3 linked regions of the Drosophila melanogaster genome follow. Changing the gene in region 1 together with any one later gene gives a genetic interaction. Each region holds a gene or a part of one and is shown in the gene's direction. Other genes may lie near its edges.

The links. Genes that interact genetically often act in the same process or in processes that back each other up.
Region 2: of ey (region 1) and Optix, changing one enhances a phenotype caused by changing the other (phenotypic enhancement), as found in Drosophila melanogaster (one study listed by BioGRID).
Region 3: of ey (region 1) and dac, changing one enhances a phenotype caused by changing the other (phenotypic enhancement), as found in Drosophila melanogaster (2 studies listed by BioGRID).

Annotation. Positions count from the first base shown.
Region 1 is NC_004353.4:700,935-708,983, forward strand, and holds the start of ey (eyeless), read left to right. Parts: upstream 1-3,716; 5' UTR 3,717-4,230; coding exon 4,231-4,339; intron 4,340-6,494; exon of another isoform or gene 6,495-6,557; coding exon 6,558-6,737; intron 6,738-8,049. UniProt on the Drosophila melanogaster protein: Involved in eye morphogenesis.
Region 2 is NT_033778.4:8,027,687-8,036,082, forward strand, and holds the start of Optix (optix), read left to right. Parts: upstream 1-3,906; 5' UTR 3,907-4,271; coding exon 4,272-4,558; intron 4,559-5,618; coding exon 5,619-5,737; intron 5,738-6,604; coding exon 6,605-6,854; intron 6,855-8,396. UniProt on the Drosophila melanogaster protein: May be involved in head or eye development; development of the clypeolabrum and several head sensory organs.
Region 3 is NT_033779.5:16,481,509-16,489,909, reverse strand, and holds the start of dac (dachshund), read left to right. Parts: upstream 1-3,911; 5' UTR 3,912-4,473; intron 4,474-5,102; 5' UTR 5,103-5,167; coding exon 5,168-6,102; intron 6,103-8,358; coding exon 8,359-8,385; intron 8,386-8,401. Other genes in the region: Nepl8 (Neprilysin-like 8), read right to left, coding at 1-261, 315-1,707.

The DNA of each region.
Region 1 (8,049 bases):
CATACCAAAACTGTCACGCCCACACGTTGCAATTTTTAAACATTTTTTATTTTATATTTTTTTTATGAAAATCGCATTGAATTTATTATTAGTTACTCCGACAGAACACTGTGCCTCTATCTTGAAGGGGAATAATATGAAATCACGGCTCCAATGTTTCAAGCTCAGCATGGTTTCCTTAATTACGAATGAGCTTTGTACACAGTACCACCTGTAGGGTATTGTCACTCGAAGTACTTTTCGTCCAGTTAAGTGATAGTCGGAAACTTCAGGCAATGGGTGTGCGTGGTCGGTGGTCGGGCGCGAAAGGCGCGGACACGGAATGTTCATAATAATTGAAGCATATTTACAGTGGCTGCCTCTTTCAGAAAGGGCGTATGTGAACCCCCCGTGAGCGTGAAGCACCCACACCAAAAGCTTGCCTTCTAGGGATTCCCCTTGGGCCCTTTCCAAAAGCCTTTTCCATGTTTGTATTTGGTTGGTTGGCCAAATGCTTCGCTGGTCATCTCCAGGCCGGGTATGGTTCGGTTTTCAGTGAGCCGTGTCTGGGGCTGCCTTAATTGTTTAATGGCTCGTTATTTGAATTCCCAGCGGGGGACCTTTTATACGTTCGTGCTAGCTAGTAATTTCAAGTGATAATTGTAGCGTTTTATTACGGATTAAGCAAATTTCGTGAAAAATATATCTATATTTCATGGTCAATGTCACATTGAAGATCAGCAGTAAATCATTTAGTAACTGCTTAAATTACATGGTCGACCCTATAGTCTATACATATTCAGGGTTACGATCACGAGCCAAAAGTCCCTGCTCTCAAATGAATGCATTTTTTCAAGTCGAAAACCAAATAAAAATCTTTCATTTATATTTTTTAAAACTTACAAATTAAATAACATATTACGTAGATTCTTTAACTCTTTTTTTTTTTTGTAAAAGGATAGCTTGACTTGACTTTTTATACCTAGGGTGTTTTGACCTTCCTTGTTCAAATTAAAACTCTTCTCAAGAAACTGAGTCTTGTGACAGATTGTGGACTAACTTGCGGAGGTCCTTATTGAATTTTCTACGAACTTTGGCGATATAACAGCTAGACGCCCCTTTTCTCGTTCCCCACCCCTAAATACCATTGCGTGGCCGTGTGAAGTCTTGCGGACAGACGATAAGAAGAACGACGCTTTTTTATGTCAGCACAAAAGCAACTGTTGCCGCACACACACTGGCTGTATGTAATAGCCATCTGGATTGGGTATTTTTCATCATCTTAAATCTAAATTGGTGGTGGTGGAAGAAATGGGAGAGGTGGTATGTCGTTTCTTTGGTGAGTGGGAAGCTATTAGCCTTCTTTCTTCTTAATTGTATAAGCTAAATACTAAAGCTCGTTATGGGCCGCGTTTTCATTAAAACATTACGCGTTAAGCCGAAAAAAGCTTGTTTGGCCAAAAACGTCAGTTTTAAGCAAGAGTCTATACTATAGCTGAGTTCCTCGACTCTTAGGTTCCCGTTACTAGATATGCAAAAGGAAAGGCGGCAGTTATATTGTTAACAGGGCCACTTAATACATTTCATATCAGATATTTTCGTTGACGGTGGTAACAGATAGATAAGATTTTGTACTCAAATGAGCGAATTGAGAATTAAGTAAATACATACATATGCTTTTATATAACTATTGTAGCTAATCTTTTCGCCCACCCAGCCATCTGTCCGATTCTACTCATATGCTATGTTTGTTATCGCGGTACTCACAAAACAGTCAGAAAGAACTCTATAGTGCCTATATCTTAATATACCCTTGGAGACATTTTGCCCGCAAATGTATTATTGATACCCGCCTACCCAGACTTCCATCCCGTTAACAGCATATATATGTAAGTACATGTATTCCAGATCTCGATCACTTACTGAATCGACGACCTAGCCAATCTCCAAACGAAGAGTTTTTTATTGGCGATTCTTGCTATTATTAATATATGGGTGTCGAAACCCTCGGAGGCGGTCTGCATCTGAAGCAGACTAAGCCGAAACGGAACAACTTTTTGCTCCACGAGCATGTGCCGTGTCGTTGGCACGTGCCACGTGGCGATTGCTTGGGCTGCGTTCCATCCTCAGCACCAGTGCGAAGATAATATGATGATAGCAGGGCTGATTCAGCTTCCTGCGGGGGACATACTTTCATGTGCTACCATGTAGCCTAATAAAAACATTTGTTTCCTCCACCTTTAGGCGTTTTATGATGTAATCTGTGCATATTAAATCTTGAATATTATAAAGGGATATGGCAATCGGATCAAATGAAAATGATTCAGTCTTACCTGTAATAATAAAAATTACATGTGCGAAAGTAAGTTCAAACATTTTATAGTCAATGAAACGCCCAGTAAGTTAAGTATTTAGAACAGTTGCGCGCCTAACATTCTCACATATATTCAGATATCGATCGTGCGTGCATTTTATTCATAAAAATGTCAACGGGCTTGGTTAAATTGTTTAGTGATTGCTAATGTTTTTAAAATATGTCAAATATTTCAACCCCAATTCTTTCAGATTTGCTACAAATTTCGACAGAACAAAATTAAATATTATAAATACAATGTAGAACTATTGCAAGGGTACATTAAAAACATTCTGGAAGTGACTTAGAAGTAATATGCATTATTATTACATTTCACTTTTCAGAAGTCATAAGGACGTTATAAACCGTGTGAGAAGAACTCTTCGCATTGGAGAGCCCAATTGTATTGGAAACAGAAAAATTGGCCGGATATTGCTGTTGAATTTTGTGAATTGCACTTAAATCGACATTATCCCATACAGTCGTGTAGGTGCGCTATAGTTTTTTAATATTTCTCTAGAGGATTTTGAAACATGGCCTTTTAGCCATAACACTGGCCGTCCCTTTCAGGCTATTGGCAACTCGTTCTCTCGCTGTGCGGCGCAAAAGCAGGACAGGAACTTCCTCTTTGGGGCCCACCCAGCCTCCACATGTGACGACAGCTTATGGGATGGTGGCTGGTGGGTGTGACCGTGCTTAGGCTTGTCGACATTTTACTAAACAACCGTACGCCCACACCCAGCTCCCCTCGATATGGCTGTGTGTGTAGGCTCGCACTGCCGAAGCGGAAACGTGCGGGTAGTTAACGGAAATGTGAAGCGCTTATTGTATCGGAATGAAACAATTCCATTGGACGAGTGTGCTGCTGGCAACTTGTCTGGCCAGCTTGAATTCAAATGGAATGCAACATGTGTGTAATTGCTGGGGGGGGGGGGGGTGTGGCACTGGGCGACTTCTCGAAAGGCGGTGAAAGCGGCAGGCGCTGCACCGTTTACACACAGTTTCTTGCTGGAAGGAACAACATCCAGTTCCAGACCAGCACTTTCATGTCTGTTCAGGACCAAACCATTCCATTATGTGCTGCTGGTCCGTCTAGAGTTGGTTCTTCCTTTATTTTCAGATTCCGTTGCCACGATATGCTTAACGACACAACGCAGCTGCAGAACTGCACCGTGCCGAATCGCTTTCATCTTCCGCCAACTAACCTTACACGGGTGCGAGAGGGACAACTGGTGTGCTTCAACAACCAATCATGGGGCTAGCCTATAGCAAATGGTGGTGAGTGGACCAGCCATGCTGGTCTTTGCCAATCGCACGCGGTTCCGTGGCAACAAACCCAGCCTTTTGCGCAGGGGGGTGCTGGCCAGCCGAGGGTCGGCCTAGTCTGTTTCTGAAACGGATCCGGGTAGGCAGGTCGTGACATTATTATTTCGTGTTGCGCTTCTAAGGTAAATACTGTTCCGCCGCCGTGTCGCGAAGTTTAAGAAAGGTTGTTCGATTCACCGTGCGTATTAATCTTTATATCAAATGAAATTACCGGCTAAGTTAGCAATCGGTAGACCCGGGAATAATACGTGTTACGTGCAGTACAAATATGATGCTAACATGAGTGCAATCAAAAGTGGCGTTCGAAAAATGAACAAGTGAACTAAAACAAAAGCGGCTGCTCAGTTATATTTGTGTTTCCGAATTCGTAACTCTTAGGTCCTCACGGCGCGATCAACAATAGGTTTTTTGATCACTGCAGGACGTCATTCTCACCATCTGCGCAAATTTACTCTTAACTCTTGCTTGACTCGCCCTGCAAGAGTTCGCACGGCGTGCGTTTGGCTGAACACAGCAGTCTCTTGGCTAAAGCTTTCATGAGCAGTGCATGTAATAAAAACTGAGATCCAACTATGTTTACATTGCAACCAACTCCAACTGCTATAGGCACCGTGGTTCCCCCATGGTCAGCGGGAACATTGATAGAGCGCCTGCCGTCTTTAGAAGACATGGCTCACAAGGGTAAGTGAATTTTTTAAATTTCTTGATTGGCATCATCGTCTTTATCCGACCCTCTTATAAATATATATGAGTCTTAGCCAACACATATGTTAATGCTGCCCATGGGCAGTTGATCCGGTCCTACTAGGCGAGTGCAGTTTCGTTCGGCTGTTGGTCTCTTTTGGCGCAGTTTACCAATAGATAAAAAGCTTCTGAACTGAATCGTTTGCGAACTCTTCTCTCAAACTCAAACTCCCGAGAGTAAGACGGCTTTATACTCCGTATAAATTGTCCAAATCAAAGATATTCAAATCTTCGCCGTGACTCTTATAATTCGAAAAACCTATATTTGTATTATACCCGTAGCTTGTTGCTAATTTGTATTTAAAGTAGTTAGTGGAAGGAAGAGTTCCCGGCTAGTCGATTTTCCGATGACCGTTGGCATGTCTGTCCGTCAGTATTGACGTCGAGACCTTTGGAAGCGAAATAAGTAGGAATTATGCAAATTCCAGTAATGCATACGCAGCTTAATTTTATATTAAACCATTGTCACTCACTCACATTGTAAATTACAACGCAAAGGCGTTTAATGATCAATGGCGTTCCTACGGGCGTATCTCATGCTATCCCGCGCGTATATGATTATTGAGTACTTCATACTAGCTGACTCTTTCGTTTTATACAAATTTGTATACTCGTTACTCATAGATTAAAGGGTTATTAGATTTTTTAAATTTAAAGTATATATATTCTTGATCATGGTCAATCGGTCAATCTAGCCATGTCCGTCTAGCCATGTCCGTCTGCATGGACGTCGAGTTCTTAGGAACTATAAGAGCCAAAAGATTGCAATTTCTCGTTCACACATGCAGCCCAATTACGGGTATTTGATAGTCAATAAACCGGACTATAGCTCTCTTTCTCCTGTTTTAGCTCATAACGCTAACTGAAAAAGATTAAGCGCCTCCTTCTAAAAGCCCCATAAACGGCCCAAGTAGTCTATGGTATATATTCGTTCATACTGGGAACTTTTTAAACTAGTTCTTTTAAGTAATAGCTTAGGTCAAAAGTGATATTCTAGTTGAATTCTTTAACCATTTGGTTGTATACCTAGCTATGATTTATCCGTTTGTATTCTTCACGACTACCTTCTGCACGCAAGTTGCGAAGTCTTTTCCTGCAAGGTTTAAAACTATGCGGCTTACTGCTGAAATCGAAATTAGTTTGATTACTTTTAATACATTTTTTTGCACTTTTATCTCGCAATAAAATGATAACCCAAATACATAGCTTATGTTTTTGGGTTTCAGTTTAATTAAAACAATTAGGTAATCCTGATTTTTCAATTCGTTGCAGGTATAATATATTACAAAAAATAATTCGAATCGAACTATGACCTGAAATTTTATATTGCCAAAAAAAGTAGAGTATACCGAATTTAATTAATACATATAACTGATATATGTAAGAAAATATGTAACTAACAATGTAATGAAATAATTCTAATTCCTATGCAATCTGGCTCAACTTCTTAACTGAAATAAGAGAAAATGTTATAGTAGAGTTTCTCGATCAAACACAGGTCTAATTTAAAATTTGCAGTATTTTAGTTCCCGAATTCAGAGTGTTTAATAATGCATGTTCTTTAGAGACTAGGACAAAAAATCTGCAGAGTGTTCGGCAACTTTTGCAGTAGATTTCAGATTATAGATAGATTACAAAGAGAATAAATAAAACAAAAGAGAATGCTTTAGTCGAGTTCCGACTATCAGATACCCTTCACTTCGCTAGTGGGAATGCAAACGGAATGCAAATATATATGCGGGAATAAAATGAGAAAATATTTAAAAATGGTTTGAAAGTGTGGGTGTGGCAGTTTAGGGCGGTTTTAGTGCGTTTGAGTGGGTATTCTGTATTCTGTATGCCTCTGTATGAGATCTGGACGTTCATACGGACGGACATGGCCAGAATGACTTAGCTTTGATCCTGATCAAAAATATATATACTTTATGTGGTCGAAACGCTTCCTTCTACCTGTTACACACTTTTGAACGAATCTAGTATACCCTTTTACTCTACAAGTACTAGTACTTAAAATATGTTACATTTTTATAAACACTTAAGCAAGTTCAAAGTTGGTTCAAATTTAAAGATCTATTCCACTATTATTATAAATGAATTCCAAGTACAAACTGACTTCTTGATACGAATTTTACTCCTTTGATTTTCTTTTTTATAGACAATGTGATTGCAATGAGAAATTTACCCTGTTTGGGTACCGCTGGTGGTAGCGGACTAGGCGGTATTGCTGGGAAACCTTCCCCTACTATGGAAGCCGTGGAAGCCAGCACAGCGTCACATCCCCATTCGACATCTTCATACTTCGCCACAACTTACTACCATTTAACCGATGATGAATGTACGTTTTAATAAATAACGCATAGCTAAACCCCTCCCGCTTTCACTCGATTTCAGATAGCCCCGATTATAATACTATTATATCACATTCACCAATAGATTAAAATTTATACACACAGACCGTCTTTACATAAACTAAATATGAATACACCATTAATAGATTTTATTGAGTCTAACCGATCCATAAGCTTTGCAAATTTAGTGTGTAATCGCAGTTTCTTGCACTAAATACCAGTTAGGATAGATAACAGATATGTATTTTGATTCTGCCCTATGTTGGGGGCTACTATAAACTTCAAATCGACTTTGGTGTTCTGTTTCTAAAAACATTACCGAGAGTAGTTTGGCGTTCAGAAAATGTCCAAGGACATTTTTGTATTCATAGTTCACTTTATTTATTTCTAACATCTATTAATACACCGCAAGTATTATAAATTAAGAGCTTGTTATTCGTTATATTATCAAAAGCTTTTTAATAACAACAGAAATGGTTTTACCGTACGACGAACCTTAGTTTATAGATATACAATTCACTTTTAGAGAAAAAGTGTGTAACACGAAGAAGGTGGATTTTCCGAACCAATAAAGTATTTACATTCTTGATCAGAATGTTCGTCCGTATACGCGATTAGATATCGGAAACTAAAAAACCTAAATGTTTTATCCAGTTATATTAAGACTTAAAGAACAGCTCTTTTACTGATATAGGATGAGGTGAATAATTATAGTATTTCCAATTTATTATAATTTTCCACTGCAAAATCACTAGGTATACCTATTTCATAGCTCGACCCGAGAAGATTAAGGAAACATTTCAAAATACTTGTATGAAGACATCGCGCTAATTTTTTTGTATTGCTAAACATGTGTCACGAAGATTTGTTATTGGTGTGAAAACAGCTCAATGTCTGGGTAAGCCCAAAGCATACAGCTGAATGGAATGGCATTGTTCAGTAGCTGACTCCAAATCTCGCACATGCTGCCAATTATAGTGGCACAATGGGTAGAGGTGATCATCGGTGACAATTGGGATCGGCATAGACTTTCAAGACGGTGATGAGTCAAACAATAATTTACGAATTGCGGAGTAGATTATAGGCATTCCTCAAATCCCTTTTCTAAACGTAACCTCATCCCGGGCCCGTCGAGCTGTTAAGTACTCTCTGTCAGGTCACCCTATTGTAGTGCCCGTGAATCAATACAATAATTTTCCAGCTTTAATGATCTTGAAGTGTGTGTTCGTTGTCGACGACCGTTTCGTGTAAAGTCGCTACAAATGGAAACAATTAATGGCTCTGAAAGCCGAAGTCGAG
Region 2 (8,396 bases), on another chromosome or scaffold:
GGCGAAAAATAAACGACGCCATGGGAGCGCCTATTAAAATTGAAATACAATAAAAAATGATTGACATCGAGGTGTTACTTTCGCCTAATGCCCTTTGAATATTCGTCGCAACAACCCTCGTCGTCCCGCCGCTTCACGAATATAAATATTAAATATTCAGGTACATGCAATCAGATTAAATTATCTTAAACAAATTGAGACGCAGACAAAGGGCGGACAAACTTGCTCCGCTCGCCCGAGGGTGGAAAACCCGAAACTAAAAAGGCGAGTACATGGTACATTTAGATTATATTTTCGGCCGGATGGCAATTCCCGTCGTAACTCCAACATACATATATTCATACATACATTTGTGGGTGGCAGGGAGCACACTAGACTGCAATAATAGAGATTTTCTTTCTGGCCGCGGGCTCCCCATTGGAGAGGCAGCCGTGTGCGGTGGTCCCTTTGTTGTTTGCGGTTGCCTTTTGTGTGTGGCGAGTGGAAAGCCTTTAAAGCCTGGCCAAGCGCGCATCAGAAATGGTATTTAATTGCCTTTTAATTGTTTTCGCAAAGCGAATTCGAGCGGCCCTAACGGTATGCGTATTTGGCCTAATTACACCACCGCTCGCTCTTTCAACGGCTCTCCTGGCGCCTTGGTGCGCAAATTTTGTCATTTAATGGACCACTGGGCGTGTGATTTGATTGCGCCAGTGACACAGTTAGCCGGAGCCACTCACTCACTCACTCAGTCACTCACCACGGGGAAGTTGCTCATCCTCCCGAAGTTGGATATTTTGATTAGCACCGCAAGCGAAATTGTCAACAATATGACATTATACGGCGTGCTCCAAGTGAACCCCCAAATGAACGAAAATCCGCGCTTCGTTAGGCAATTCAAATGGGATTGCAATTGCTTTCTGGCCTTCAGAAGAAAGAAGAAGAGAATAGCTGGGGCACGCCGATTCGAAGATGTTTGTTCAACTGATTGATCCCCGGAAACATGAGCTACTCGACGTTCTCCCTTTCGAAAATCACTCAAATGTTTATTGGCCGTTCATAAAACATCGAAATGCAGTCCTTCATTTGAATATTCCCTTACCTATCTCAAATGTAGTCATAAGGAATAAATTCCTTTCATTTCTATTTTGAGAGTTATTACGTAATATTTCTGATTTTATTTAAGATGAGCTCAAACATGATTTTCTAATAATTTACAACAAAGTTATGTTAATTTCGTTTTCAGTTTCATGGTCTTTCGAAAGTGGCTTTAAAATACATATCTTTAAAATATCTACCTATATTCCTATATATTCCTTTTACGTCCTTAACAGCTGTAATTTTTCTACTCCCATGTTTTGAACTTATATCGCTGCTCAAAATGTGTGCCCCGCGGCCCTTTCGGTATTACATTTGCATTTCAGCATGTATCTGCAGCGGCTTGGCCATGATGCGATTGTATCTCTTACTCCATCCTCAATTGTGGCGCATGAAAGGTGATCGATACTATAATGAGCGTATTCAGAGGACATCGGCCGTGGCAGCACATAATGTGGCCATGTGGGAGCTGGTGCTGGAGCTGTAGCGGAGCGTGCGCTATCATCCAGCATCTGCCAGGCTGTATCTTGGTGCGAACCTGTATCTGTATCCGTATCTCAGTATGTATGTATATATCTGTGTGGCCGACGTCACTTACCCATTCACATCCATACGCGCAGCGTTTGTCGTTCACGTAATGCAATTGTCCAAAATGTTCAACCAACTACTCAAAAAGTCATCGTTCAGATTTAACAAGGTTGGTTGAGAGGGGGGAGGGGGTTAGTTTGGTAGGGGATTGGGTTGGGGAGGGAAAGAGACAAGAGGTAGAGCGAGAGCGAGGTAGCAATGGCGATGTTCGTGTGCTTGTGTTTTCACGATGTACATGCATATATGTATGTGTATGTGTGTAAGTATGTGTGCATGAGATTTTACATTGGTTGTATTGGTTAGGGTGGCCGGGGGGTGGTGGGCTGTCTCACGGGGTGGCGGTACGTTTGAAGCCCGCGGCTACACTTTTGGAAAACTCATTTACTTGTGGCATGTAAACAACTAATCTGTTAACACTCCGGACAAAAGCGCGAACGATACATTAGCGTGTGCCCTGTCCGCGCCGAACACCGCCCACCTCCAAGCCATCCCCTCCTCCTCCTGGCTATTTCCGGATCCTGTCAAACACGGAGCATGATGAAGCACCAAGACCCGACAACCAACACTACTGACAGCGCCACAATAAAAACTTTTGCTCGTGAATATTTTGCCCCATTCGACGGGCATAATCAAAAGTTCCCTTTGCCAAAATGAAAACGTGATTTTCTCCTTGGTCATATATATGTGCATATAAATGGCGGATGAGAGGGCTGGAGGTTCGTCCTGGCACAAGGATATGGCTTACAGTGAGCGAGAGTAGGGGCTTCAGAAAGGGGGAAATGGCATGGGAAGAGAAGGGCAGAGGAAGGAGCGGCGGCAGAGGTTGCCAGACCACATGGTGTCAAACATTTTGCTACACTTATACAATATGCTTCACTTACCGTGATGCGAAATCAATGAAAAGCGGATCCAAGTTTCGACTAAGTTAGATCAGTTAATTTGTAACTTTTTTTTCGTATGTGCTACCTCTCTTAAGTTATGTTGTTAACAAATAAGCGAATTAGGTTTATAAGAAATATACAGATACAAAAGAAAGCGTTTTTAACAACATGACCTATAAATGTTACGGTTTATGAAAATCTACAAGGCCAAAATAAGCATTTACTGAAGTGCGTGTGTATAAACAACTTGATATATTGAAAAACATTCATATAACCGTGCGATCTTGACTCTGGCAATTCTTTCTTCCAACTTGTATCGTGCTTGTGATCAATGACTTGACAGAATATCTTTAGTAAATAAAGACCCTCGAATTTTCCACGGCATATAAACATAATCCAGCTGATCTCGCCCCACTGTGCGGCTGTGCTCGGCTGCCCGGCTGCTGCGTTCTGCCGGGTTGTTTTATTTGATTTCTTTATCAATATCTGAGCTGCCGTGCCTGCAGCTCACCCCCTCGGTGGCGTTACCCAGCCCTACTACTGCCGCCACAACGTTCGTAACCCCTATTCAACGAGCCGTTGTTATCCTGGAACTGGAACTGCAACAGTATTAGTTGCTGTGCACCAGTGTACGTGCGACTCTTATGTACGATTCATTTAAACGAGACCCATGAAGGCGATGCCACCACCGCATAAAGGAGAAAAGGAGACAGCTGTCGAGAGTGGCGCCATTGCATGGCCGTGTGCCAGAGCGAGACGTACGTACGTCAACGAGCAGTGACGACCACGCCCACCCCGTGGTAGTGGTGCCTATGGTATGGTGGTGCGTCGTAGTATCCGTATCCGCATCTGTTCGCGTATCTTTATCTGTGTGTGCGGCAAACTGGTTGTGGCCTGGTATTGGTGCCAACTCGTTTCTGTTTCCATATCTCGGCCCGTATCTGTGTCCGCAGCTGTATCTGTATCTGTAGCTGTATCTTTATCTGTATCCGTGTCTGCAGCTGGCAAGCAGTAGCAGTGGCAGCCGGAGAGCTGAGCCGAGCCGCCAGCCAGAGTATCTGTATCTGTGGCGCGTCATTGTTGTGCTGCTACTGCCGCTACTGCCGCTGCTGCTGCCTCTGCCGATTGAGCTCCATTGCCATAGCTTCTATAGCCTCTATAGCGTGTATAGCTTCTGTGCCGTTCCCGTCGCCTAGTGGGCAGCTCAGTTACAAGACCATTATTTGACGTATTTTTTGCGCGCTCGGTTGGCCGTTTGGTTGGTCGCTCTCTCGCTCGCTGGATCGTATCGCACCACACCGAACCGCATCGGTTATATCCATTGCCAAAGGCCCCCTTTATCGCCTCGATGTGGAGCAGCAGTTGCGCTCCGTTCGTGGTCCGGGCACGGGTATCGCATTCATGAGCTGGCTCATTGGCAATCATTTGGATTCGTACGCCAGTCGAACCGGTGGCCACCTCACACATCCAGACGGCCAGATGCCCTCGATCGCGCGTGCAAAGTGCTAACCCCAAACCAATCAGTAAAACCTTATCGAGGCGGACTGAATCGAGTCGGATCAAGCCACCCAAGTGCTAGTGAACACATCAAAAAAAAAAAAAAAAAAAACGAATAACAGCCAAGGAATTGAATTAGTGACTAAACCAGTGTAGTGCCCAGCAAGATTGCTTCGTTCCGGTGGAGAATAGTATGCCAATTTGTTCACAGTGGATTCAACGAATAAAATGGCCGTTGGACCGACGGAGGGCAAACAGCCGCCCTCAGAGAGCTTCTCGCCCACGCACCACCAGATTATAGCACCCAGCCCCATCCTGGCCGTTCCAACGCTGGCCTTCTCCGCCGCCCAGGTGGAGATCGTTTGCAAGACGCTCGAGGACTCCGGCGACATCGAGCGGTTGGCCCGCTTCCTCTGGAGCCTGCCGGTGGCCCTGCCCAACATGCACGAGATCCTCAACTGCGAGGCGGTGCTCCGTGCCCGCGCAGTGGTCGCCTACCATGTGGGCAACTTCAGGTAGGAATCCGCCACACACAAAAGCCCCCTGCTTGAATGACACTCTCTGGGAAGATCAGAAAACCAAAAACCAAAAAAAAAAACAGAAAACCAGTCAGCCAGAGTCCCAGCCTCCTGTCCTGATTAACCCCGACAACCGACATCCGATAGTTTTGCACAGCGACAGCTTAATGAGGGCACAATGAGCCGCTAAATTAATAAACAATGGCATTAATTTACTAATTAAAGAACTCGCTGCTGCCCAAAGCCAAGTGGAGCAGGCTTGATTAATAAAACACCGACCGAACAATAGGTTCCACGCCAGGATCGGGGTTTCGGCTTCCGTCGCCACGACATTCTAAGTTCTCACATTTCACGGGGGCTTCTAAGACAACCGGAAACAATTCGCTCGAATGGTGAATTTTGCAATAGGCCCTCGCAAACGATGACGAAAGATTAGCTTACCCATGGTATCTCCGAGATAGACTTAGCCTTGTGATCTTCGCCTAGACGAATCGGCCATTTGCCGCGTCTCGAAGTGGGCAAAACAGGTCCCCTGGCAATCGATATCGACAATTATCCGATCGGCTCAGGCAATCACAACTATAAACGGTTGCATCAGGTTTTGCATCTCATCTGACTGCAGCTCGAGCACACGGCCGTGTAATTCGAGTATAATCAATCAATGTCCAGATACAGTACATATATGGCCTGTTCGTGCATATACTCTTACGGATCTGGCGATGCTATGCAAGTGATTTGATTGCTTTGACTTGGTAAATAAACGACTTCCAATTAAAACCATTTGACGTACTCAACCGAGCTGTCAGCACCAGTGACGACAATAAATGCTTATGAAATTGTTTCAAAATACATATGGACGCCTGTCGAGCGTCGAGTGTCGAGGGGTGTAGAAACTCGGAGGCGGGGATGGCTTTCGCAGCGGGAAGTCCCAAGTGTCCCAAAAGTCCAAAGGACCCAGGGGTGGTTGATGGGGTTGAAATCGTGATGGCAAATTCAGCGCATTAACTTTAAGCTCAACTCCGGATACTAACACTCACACTGGACCACCTCTTTTCAGGGAACTTTATGCAATAATAGAGAATCATAAGTTTACTAAGGCGTCCTACGGCAAACTGCAGGCCATGTGGCTGGAGGCCCACTACATTGAGGCCGAGAAGCTGCGCGGTCGATCACTGGGTGAGTAAGGCATTCACTTCCAAGATAGATGTCGTGATAAAATGCTGAAAAAAATATGAGGGAATTTCAAACACAAACGTAGAAATACAAGTTTAAGTTTTACTATAACACCACGAAATGTTTTCATTAAGCATATTGATTACACATATTTGTTATTTCAAATGCATTGAAAAGCGGTCGAATAAATACTAAACGTGTTTTAGAAAATCCGATCATAGTAATAAGAAGGATTAACAGATTATTTATAATTCTAATTGTATTATTGACTCAGTTAAATGACTAAAACAGAGCTTACTTTAAATTCGATACTTAAAAAGTCGTCACTGAACATCGATTCAAAGTGTTTGAACAATTTTTGATATTTAGCTAATTCTCTAACTGTATGTATTGGGTATAGACCAGTTTTTCAGTGCTTAATTATGTAATGATTATGTAATAACATATTCAGAAATTTACGCTCGTATATTTTACTTTAAGATGTTCAAACCAGTTTTACAAATATTTTTCATAATTGTTACTTGTAATATTTCTTTGATATTTTACGATGATATTTACAATCCAAGTAACAAATAAAGCAATACAATTGTTTTTGAATATATAATAGACACACTTTAAACTCGCTGTTTAAAACGATCCTTTTAGAAAAAACTTGAATGAAATCGAATAATCAGTACACAAATAGTTGATGTAAAAAAATCTCTAATGAATTGTAGCAATCAAGACAATTGTTTTTAGAGCGAGGAGTTTCAAACTCCCTAATGAAAATTTCAGAAAGCTATTGCCAGCATTTGTTCAAACAAAACTACTGTAAAATTAGACAAAAATTAAAATTATTTTAATTAATCCAATTGCAATTGAAACTTGCAGGCCCCGTGGACAAGTATCGGGTGCGAAAGAAGTTCCCCCTGCCGCCGACGATCTGGGATGGCGAGCAGAAGACGCACTGCTTCAAGGAGCGCACGCGGAGCCTACTGCGCGAATGGTACCTACAGGATCCCTACCCGAATCCCACCAAGAAGCGGGAGCTGGCCAAGGCCACCGGCCTGAATCCCACGCAAGTGGGCAACTGGTTCAAGAACCGCCGCCAGCGGGATCGGGCTGCTGCGGCCAAGAATCGGTAAGTTATCGACCATGGACCGCTTCAATTAGCCATTGGAGTTGGGAGTTAGACGGGTCTGGGGTCTGGGCCCTGGATGGGCTGGTAACCCGATCGGGGCCGGGTAAGCGGATATCATCCTCCGGAGAGTGGGTGCAGTGGGTGAGGTGGACGAGTTGGATGCCGTGGGGGGGTCGCACAGGAGCGTTTCCATTTCATTGATCCGTGCCGATCTGCGGCAGCGGTGGCGGCACCCAGTGAAGCGTTCTCGATTTCTGCTGTTTGTTGCGGTCGTCGCTTTTTGGCCACATTAAACTGACCGCCGACGATGACGATGGGTTTGGGCTTGGTTATGGGTATGAGTATTGGTATGGGTATGGATCTTGGCCTGGACGTAATGGTGAAGGAGACAACGAACAGAGATGACGATCATGATAGCGATGGTTCATGACGATGATGACAGTGTAAATGCAGCTCATGCTTCAGCTGGAAAGGTGCAACCGCTTGCGAAAATGGGCAGGAGAAGTTAAAACTCGACCAATTCGCGCGAAGTTGAAATGAAGAAGATCCGCTCGAAGTGAAAGAAGGCAAGTTAAGTGGAATGACACTGCAAGAAATCCGGATTCGGAGTCGGAGCTGCACTGGACTGGACTGGAGTCGCAGATCTGGAGTCGAAATCGTAGTCCACTCAAGTGTTTGGCTGCTCCTGCAGATGCGCAAATATTTCAAGTTCTACCTGCTCACAAAAAGAGCAAAGAGGAAAAAGGAAAAGTAAAAGAAATCGAGACAACATTTGGCATTCCTCGGAAACCTGGCAGCCCCACAGCAACACACCAACACATCCCAGAGCCGAGAGCTCCGAGATCCCATCCAAAGAGCCGTGTTTATTAAGTTAGGAGCAGCTTCGGCAGCGGTCTCGTCTCAAATTGAATGAATCTGCACAAAGCGCCAAGCGTATGGCATCGCCGCCAAACAAAATAAAATAAGTAGTATACAAATACGAATAAAAACCAGATGCGAGCGGGTCATTAGTTAAAATGATGGCGATTATTTCGCTTGTAAAGCGGCAGCAGCCACGGATACGCGGCCATTACAACTCCATCCGCACTCTATCCGCAGATCCGCCGATCCCCGATCCCCAGATCCCCAGATCCCCAGATCCGCGGATCCCAACTCGAATTTGAGGTTCGAGTTTTTGGCTCCGCGGTTTCGTGTAGTCATCGTGTTATTAAGCAGCGGCGGCACAGCAAAAGCCCCAGAGATGAGACAAAAAGGCGCACTGGCGATACGAAACACCAAGTATGGCCATATAAAAAATATGAAATTAAAAGCCGTTCATATGCGACGGCCAGACAAGACTTCGACAGCGCCAGGCGGCAGACAGGGGCGTCCTCAACGCGGCCTCCGTGGGCAGCGGAGAGGGGGTTCCAGACCCATTCTAACCGACAACCCGACCCAAACCACCAGGCGCTGACTGTTCAAGCATTGTGCGCTGAAAAATTGTTAACATTTTTGCTACTGCACTTGTGCGAACCGAATGCGACAGGCGGAGAAGTCGGAATC
Region 3 (8,401 bases), on another chromosome or scaffold:
GATTCTTGGCCATCTTAGCATAAGTAAAATAGGCCAGTTCTAAACCAGCAATATCGCCCATGCTTTCATCGATGTTCTCTGAATTGCGTGACAAGCAACTGACTGCTTCTTCGAAACGATGCGATCTAAATGATTGATCGTTTCCATCGCTGCCAATTGTAATGCCCTCGGTGGCAAAGGCGCTTATCAAGTGATGTGCCATAATATATCCCATCAGGCTGTATTTGAAGACATCTTCGCTTTCCAGCTGAAAGAATGGCTCTTGCAGTAGCCCAAGGGGGACAATAATCACATTGGGGCGCATCACATAGTACGAGGTGGAGGCAATGGCGCCGCTTGGCTCCTGTAAGTCAAAATATTCTGCTCCTCTGAGTGCCCTTTGCTGGATTGGGCCAACATCTTTTGGGTGCGAAACTGCAGCACCTTGAGGTGCTCCTGATGGTAATCCAGCTCGCCAGTGGGAAACTGCAAGTCTTGGTAGTACTGGCCGATGAAATGGCGAAGATCATCGGTTTTTGGAAGATTCACAACGTTGATCTCAATTGCCTCTGCCTTTCGAACGAAAAATTTCATCTGCAAAGCAGTCAACTCTAGATGATTTTGATCGACTTGCAGCAGAAACTGATGGCGTAGTTTCTCGAAAATGTCCTTAATTTCCAGGATATTGGCACTGAAAGTGGAGTCTTCGAAAAATCGTTCCTTATAGAGCATGTTTGCAGCCAAATTCATGTTGCGGCGCACCTGTGACACACACTCCGTGGATTCTCTGCCACCCATGGTTTCATCCAATAGAAATATTGCAAATCGGGTCATTATGTAGCTGGCCACCAGCCGAGCATCCTGTTTGTCCATTAGTTCCTTAAGGGCGGTAAAGTACCTAAAATTGCGCACCAACACTTGGAGTTCTGGGGCTGCGCTGGAGCCTATTAAAATCTCAAAGAAACGCTGCCAGTTGTGACCGGTTTCCATCTGAAAATCGCGGATACTAATGTATCTATTATTCAGTGTGTCGATCGGATTGATCATCGTTTTAAGCAACAATTCAAGCGTTCGCATTTTTCGCGCCAGAGTAATGATTTCACTGGAAGGAACCTTTATGATATAGAGAACGGATAGAATTTCAATAAAACTGTTCGGCAGTTGAGATTCTTCTCCAAAAGTGGGTGTATTTAATTCTACCATGTACTCGCTGGCATTTCGTGGGTTTGACACGACTTCAAGGTTAAAAAACACGTTAGTTAGACCGTAGCGATGCAGATGAGCCAGTGCCTTGAGCCATTTGAAATTCTCCTGGGGCCAAGAACTACCGTCCGGAATGAATTGAGGCCATGTGAGTCCTTCGCCGGGGGAAATCACTTTCAGATACTGGCTTAAACTATCCATATTCCGCGGCGCTCCACGACAACTAAGGTAGTAACGAAGGACCTTGCCATCTACACTAGATACATTAAAGTCCGGCAATTGAGAACTCATTTCCAGCTCGTCCATTAGTTTCACCAAGTTCTGGTTAACCTGGTGATCCAGCATTTGTATAATGTCGAAGAAGGTGTCGTCGATGTGACGCATGTTGTACTGGCCGCAGGCGTGGTTGTAGTAGTTCTCACAGGGATTGGCTTCCTTGTCCACATGACTTAGGATGCCATTTAGAAGTCTTGTATTGGAACTGGCCGCCACAAGGGGCACCAGCAAGAGGCAGATAATCCACATAATAGCTGCGAGCGCACTGAACTTTTGCCATCCAGTCGTCGTTTAAAAATACAAATCTCGACACATCCAGAGAATACTCTATATATGTGGTGAAGGCAAAGCTGATAATCCGAAGTTATGGAACAGTAACTGTCGCTTCAAAGTCCAGAAGTATTATTGATATAACGACTTTCAAATTGACTCCTAGTCCAAATTTGTAATCCAAACTAATAGAAATTAATCACCCTCCTTTTTTTTAGAATATAAACTCATCTTTGCGCTTGCTTGTGGTTAATAAAAAATACAATTTTACTTAATAGTTAGATCAGTTGCATTTATTAAAGAGAAAAACCAGAGTTCAAAGCGAGCTGTTTGTTGCGAAAAATCAAACTTCCCGCCCACAGTTGCGACACCATGAAAAAGTTGCATGTTGTAGAACTCATTTCTTACTGACGATAGTTGGTTGCTATGACATATTTTGACACTTGGATGATAGAGGCAGTACCTTTTTGTTGTCCATTTATGGGGGGAAAACAAATTTGTTTGAATGAATACTTTTTAATTCTGCATGTCATTTTTGGTAAATTTAATGTACTTATTCGAATTTAAAGCCAGCGATTCATGTATATGTCATAATTAAATGAAATTCATATGACATAAGGAAATGGTAAAAGAAAAAATAGCCTAAAATGTCACAGTTTAGAAAAAAAGTAGCGTTACATATTAATTTTCATATCTAATATAATCTTATAACTATTTTTTAATGAAACAAACCGATGTAAAAATAAAATATTTACATTACAATAATTATTGTGTTTTAAATTCTTCTTTAAAGCCCGAAAATATTTTCTAAAAGCTGTTGGAAATCCACATTTGCAATCAATTTAATATTAAATGGTTGCTGTCACCTAAAAGACAGTGGGTGAGGAAATCCACAAAAGAAAAGCCCCAAACGAAACGAACAAGAAAAATTCATACGTCATGTGCAAACACAATACATAAAGACGTATTCCATTCCCATATAGAAAGAAATATGTACATGGAACTCTCAAATGGAGAGAACGGAATGCGATTGGTTCGGCGACGGAATGGCAATCGTTATGGAGAAGAATCGCAGAAGGCGAAACGAAGACAAATAATAGAAAAATGACCGAGCTCTCAGATACATTGTACATAAACATATAGAGGTGGCAAAGGTGCGATGCCAGAATTTATAAGCAATGCTATTTATAAGAACCCGAAAAACGAACGCCCCTCAGGCGAAAAAAAACCCCATTATCGCAATATGTGTAAGTGGAAGAAAGATGCCCTGCCATAGTGCTGCTCTCCTCCGAATCAGCAACACAAAAAGAAATACAAATAAACGGGACTCGAATGGAAACGAATGGGAAACGGAAAACGGTTGACAAAAAAAATCAAAGCTTGGGACGGAAAGAGATAGCAACACTGCCCCGAAAAGTATAATTCGTTGAAAGTTTGTCATTTACTTTTAATTGAAATTAAAATGCTTTTTGTCAAAGACAGCTGCGCAAACTCGAAGTAAAGCTATTTTTTTTTACTTTTCTTCTCTGGCAATGCATTTATTATAATTTACTTTGCAACACAAAATGCCAAAACAATTGTCATTTGTTTATATAAGGCGTCGCCCATGGGGGCGAGCGAGAGCGCAAACATGTACGACTGGCTATGCAAATATGCTGCTTTCTCGCTCGCTCGTGTTTATTGGTTGCAGCCCACCTGAGCGTGCGACAGAGATGGCGAGATGGTGTGAGAGAGAGGGCTCAGACTGAAACGAAATGAAATTGAAATGAAAAACGTTTTTTTTTCCAAAGAGAGAGAGCGGGAGGATTTGAAGAACACAACACGCACAAACGAATTGAAAAAATAAATAAAACGAATGCAAGAGAGAGAGAGCGATTACGTTTGTCATTGTATTTTCGGGGTTGCACACAGAAATATACACAGATGCAAACACACCGATCAATCGCACATACCACTCCCCTTTTTGGCCTGGTATTGGTGTAATGCGAGACGTGGACGGGCAACAGACATTCGTATTCGTACTCGTATTCGTATTCTGGTTTTGCACAATCGCAGATACAGATACACCAGCTCGCTCTCACAGGCACAGACACACACATACAAGCACACTCGTCTCGGCCGACCGCGCTGCCGGCGTCGCTGCCACGAAAATCCGAAAGGAATCGAATTGAAACTCGCCTTTCATTACGAATTTGTCATTCGCAAGAGAAGGTAATGCAATAAAACTTTTGCGCGCGCATTTCTCTCAGTACATAACGGTAGCGCTTCGTGTGTACGTACGTACGTACGTGTGTGTGGGTGGGCTAAAAAAATAGCACTCGTTAGCGCCCGCTCACTCGCTCACTCGCAGTCGTCGCCTCGCGCCGTCTCGCTCTCAGTCGATTCCCATTCGAATGCAATTCGTTTCGTTGATTTCTCCGAACGAGAGGGGGAAGAGGAACCAGTCGAAGGCGAAGAAGCAGAGGCAGCGACGCCACCGTCGCCGTCGCAGCGGAGTAGCTGCCATCTCTCAATCTCTGAGTGACAATCCGTCGGTACGGTACTCGAAAACGGACACAGCTCCGGTTTCCAAAATTCCAGTACGAAAACGGTTATTCGAACTCGATTAACACAAGCGGGCAATCGGAATAAATAACTTGAAATATTCAGAGTATATATTTCACAGCGAAATTCAAAAAGCAAAGTGCGCGAGTGTCTTGTGTCAGTGATGTTGAGTTTATAAATTACTTTTAGACCTCCTTAAAGGTAAATCTATGTTCTATATCGAATTATTCAAATAAAGCTGACAATAGGTATATTTATGCAAATTGGCAGTAAGGATCCAAATTAGCTTCATTGCCTTGTTTTTCCCAAAACTTAATTAAAGCAAAGTTTGCAAAGCAATAGTTCTGTTGATAAAGGATTATTTATGGGGGGTATTAGAAGATAATCGGACTTTAAATGTCTGAAAGGAAACTTTTCTATTTTCTGTTAGTTCTCTATATTTCTTTGTAAGTAAAATGTTTGTTAGGATATTAATTTACAAAAAATATTTAGCAATATAAACTTGTAGCTACCATATAACTAACTAAACTGGCTCAAAAATAGATTTTAATAAATAGGAGCATAGCTGAGCCTAATACAAATCCTAAATCGTTTGTAAATTTTTTGAAGGTCTGCATTTAAATTTGATGTTATAAAACTTACAGAAGTATTAAAAATGTAAAGCCAATAATAAGCGGATAGGAATATACGAGACACGCTCACTTAGAATTTGCATATAGAAGCCTAATAAATAATTAAAAATGAATTAAGAGTTCATTAATTATTTATCTTCCTCTCACCATCTATTTTCTATTTCTCCCTTACTTTGTGTCAAATTTTTGTCACGATAGAAAAAACGTCAAATTAACGAATCGATTAAAAAGTAAATAAACAAAAGTGTCGGCCATGATGAAGTATGGATTCTGTGACAAGTGAACAGAGTGAAAATAACAACAATAAAGCGGGCGCAATAAATAACAATATTAATAGTGGTATTGAAAGAGCCGCGGGCAATATGAACACCACCGCCATGTTGATGCATCACCAGCAGCAGCAGCAGGCAGCCGCAGCAGCGGCAGCCGCAGCAGCCCAGCAGCAACAGCAGCAGCACAATGGACGCGACGGTAGCAACAGTTCGCGTGGAGCCAACGAGGATCGTCCAAATGGACGGAGCTCGCACACAGGACGAGGATCCAGTTGCTCACCGGCCAGTTCACCAAGTCGCCATCCCAGTGCCGTCAGTCCGGTGAGCTCCCTCAACCACTCCATGATGCAGCAGATGCAGCAACAGCAGCAACAACAGCAGCAGCAACAGCAGCAGCAGCAACACCATCAGCTCAGCCCCCCGCCACATGGAATGCCATCGGGCAACGGACTGCCGACGGGCCTACCGCCCAGAATGCCCCATGGACTGCCGCCCCATTCGCTGGGGCTCCTCAACTCCCTGCAGATGATGCACCATGCCTCCCCCTTGGAACTGATGGCCGCCGCCCATCACCATGTGCCGCCAAGGTCGTACAACTCACCGCCGCCGATCTCCACCTCGGATCCCAGTGCCAATGAGTGCAAGCTGGTGGAGTACCGGGGTCAGAAGGTCGCCGCATTCATAATTAGCAACGAAACGATGCTCTGCCTGCCGCAGGCCTTCGAGCTCTTCCTGAAGCACTTGGTCGGCGGTCTGCATACGGTTTATACCAAACTAAAGCGCCTTGACATCGTACCGCTCGTCTGCAATGTGGAACAGGTGCGCATATTACGCGGCTTGGGCGCCATCCAGCCGGGCGTCAATCGCTGCAAGTTGCTCTGCTGCAAGGACTTCGACATCCTCTACAGGGACTGCACCACGGCCAGGTACGAAACCGAAGCAAAAGCATTGGGGGCAGTTCCACACGCAATTGGGGGTTTTTCGTTATTTCAAGACTTCATTTGATTATTTCACTGATCTGTGCTGTGCAGGCGAATATTTTGCAAAGGGAGTTTTTGCTTAGATTTACAGTAAATAGAATAATCTTGTAAGGATTTTATATAAGAATTGGATTGGGATTTAATTGCTTTTGAATACGATTAAATGTTAGTTACAATTTTAAAATAAATTTCTTAACGCTATCCAATGATTTCGCAAAGTGCATGTGCCCAGTTAGTTGCATTTCCAGTTCGGGGTTTGCTCTGCAAAATTTTCTCATTTCCTGTTTCCGCTTTAGCCAACTTACGCACTCAACTTCCACCCCCTGCCGCGGCCGCCCCCAACTTCTTGCATATTCTTGCAACGGTTGCAATGCAAATAGTTTGTGCATCGATATCGATTAACACGGGCAATCAAAAAACTTTCGTTTCGCATTTCGCCGTTTGCCTTTTCCGATGACATTTAGCGGAAATACGCAATGCAAACGTAACGCTCCCCGGTGACCCCTTGCTAACTAACCGAAAGCTGCGTAATTCTTTTGAACGCCTCTAACAATAGTTGGTAAAACAGTTTTCCACCTTGCACAACTTTTCCTCCTGTTTTATCCGATGTTTTTCTGCAATCGACGTGTGCGGTGCGCTGTCAGCTCATTTCCGTTCGAGTGGAAAAAACGACAAGCAAAAACGAAGTTCAGTAGAAATGGGTATCGTGTTTTTTTTTTTTAAATCTTTTGAGGGGGATCTAGGAGCTAGTGGGTCTAAAGTTTTTAATGGTTTAAAATAAAACCATTGTCCTTGGTTACAGAAAGTTTGGCGAGCTAGCCAATTTTCGCCGATTTGTTCAAATGAAGGCGACTGAAATATTTGTGTCTCTAAAATAAATACTTCCTTATAGTTGCAACTTAAGCCAAAAGACTTAAAGAGTTACGTCAAATGATGCAGACTTATACAGAAATATGCAGATATTTATAAATTGTGATTAGATCGAATGGCTTAGATTAGATACAAAAAGGCTTAAAAGATCAACACAATTAAAGGCTAATATTCCGATTGATCCCCAGGAGATCCAAATATTTCATGGATATTTAAACATCTCCTGCCTGAAAGATTTTGAAAAACATTTACTAACTGAACTGCCCATGCATTGAGACATCAACAGTCGAAACGATTACAACCTTGTATTTCAATATCCCTTCTTTTTTTGGTTTTGGTTCTGTTCTGTTCTTATTTTTTTAAGCCAATGTAGAGTCCTGGGGTTTTTGTGTTTACAGTTCTCGGTTGCAGTGAAGAACGGGTTGAACTGGCCGCTGACCACAATGAAGTCGATGGAAAACCATCTAGTTAATTATGGAAAAGGGCTGAGCCACATGTATGGAGTGTGCTCCAAAGTGCACATGCGCTTTGTTCAGAGAACTGAGTACACAGGCAAAAATTGAGATCTTCTTGGATATCGGGTTTAAAAATTTAGATTCACGTAATTTTTATTAGTTTTTTTTTTTTTTTAAACTATGTTAATAGCTAGAAAAGTAAGGTTTGTGTCTTATTGATAACATATATTTTGAAAAGTAAATCCAGCCAAATAAGTCAAATCGAAATTAACGAAAATAGAAATGGTAGTAATATCATTTGTATTGGATTAAACTATTGGATTATTGGATTAAATTGTATTCCGTTGCTATGAAAAACTAGTTACATTTTTCTCAATGAAAAGTTGTACAGAGAGCCAGAACAGAAATAAGGAGACCCAGTCTAAGTACGATTCCCGGTTTTGAAAACCGAACCGGACCGAACATGAGGAACGGTTAAAAATGCGGTTAAACCTATTATTAGGTTGAAAAAGTTTTGCGCTAAATTGAAACAAGTTGGGAGAGCGAGCGAAAGGGGAAATGCGAAACCGCTGAAGGCAGCGCTCTCTGTGGATAATTACAAATTGTTTTTGGCCAGTGGGCTGGATAAAGGGGTCCAGGGGGGGTGGAAAGGGGGGTTCTCGGGGCGTGTGCATTTTCACACCCGCTTGCCCGCCAAAATGCAAGTCCGTCAGAACGAACCCGTCAATGAAAAACTTCCCTTTCAGCATTTGTGCCCCGAATTTAAGCCGTGTTTCCTTCCGTTATGTTGCAGTACTTGTTTTTCGTATTAAAGCTTACACAAAACGTTTAACAATTTTGCCTCACTTGTCTCTTCTTCTTCTCTTTTTAATTGCAGATGCCTATCGATCAAGCCACCAGAAAGGTAAACACACAAGTAT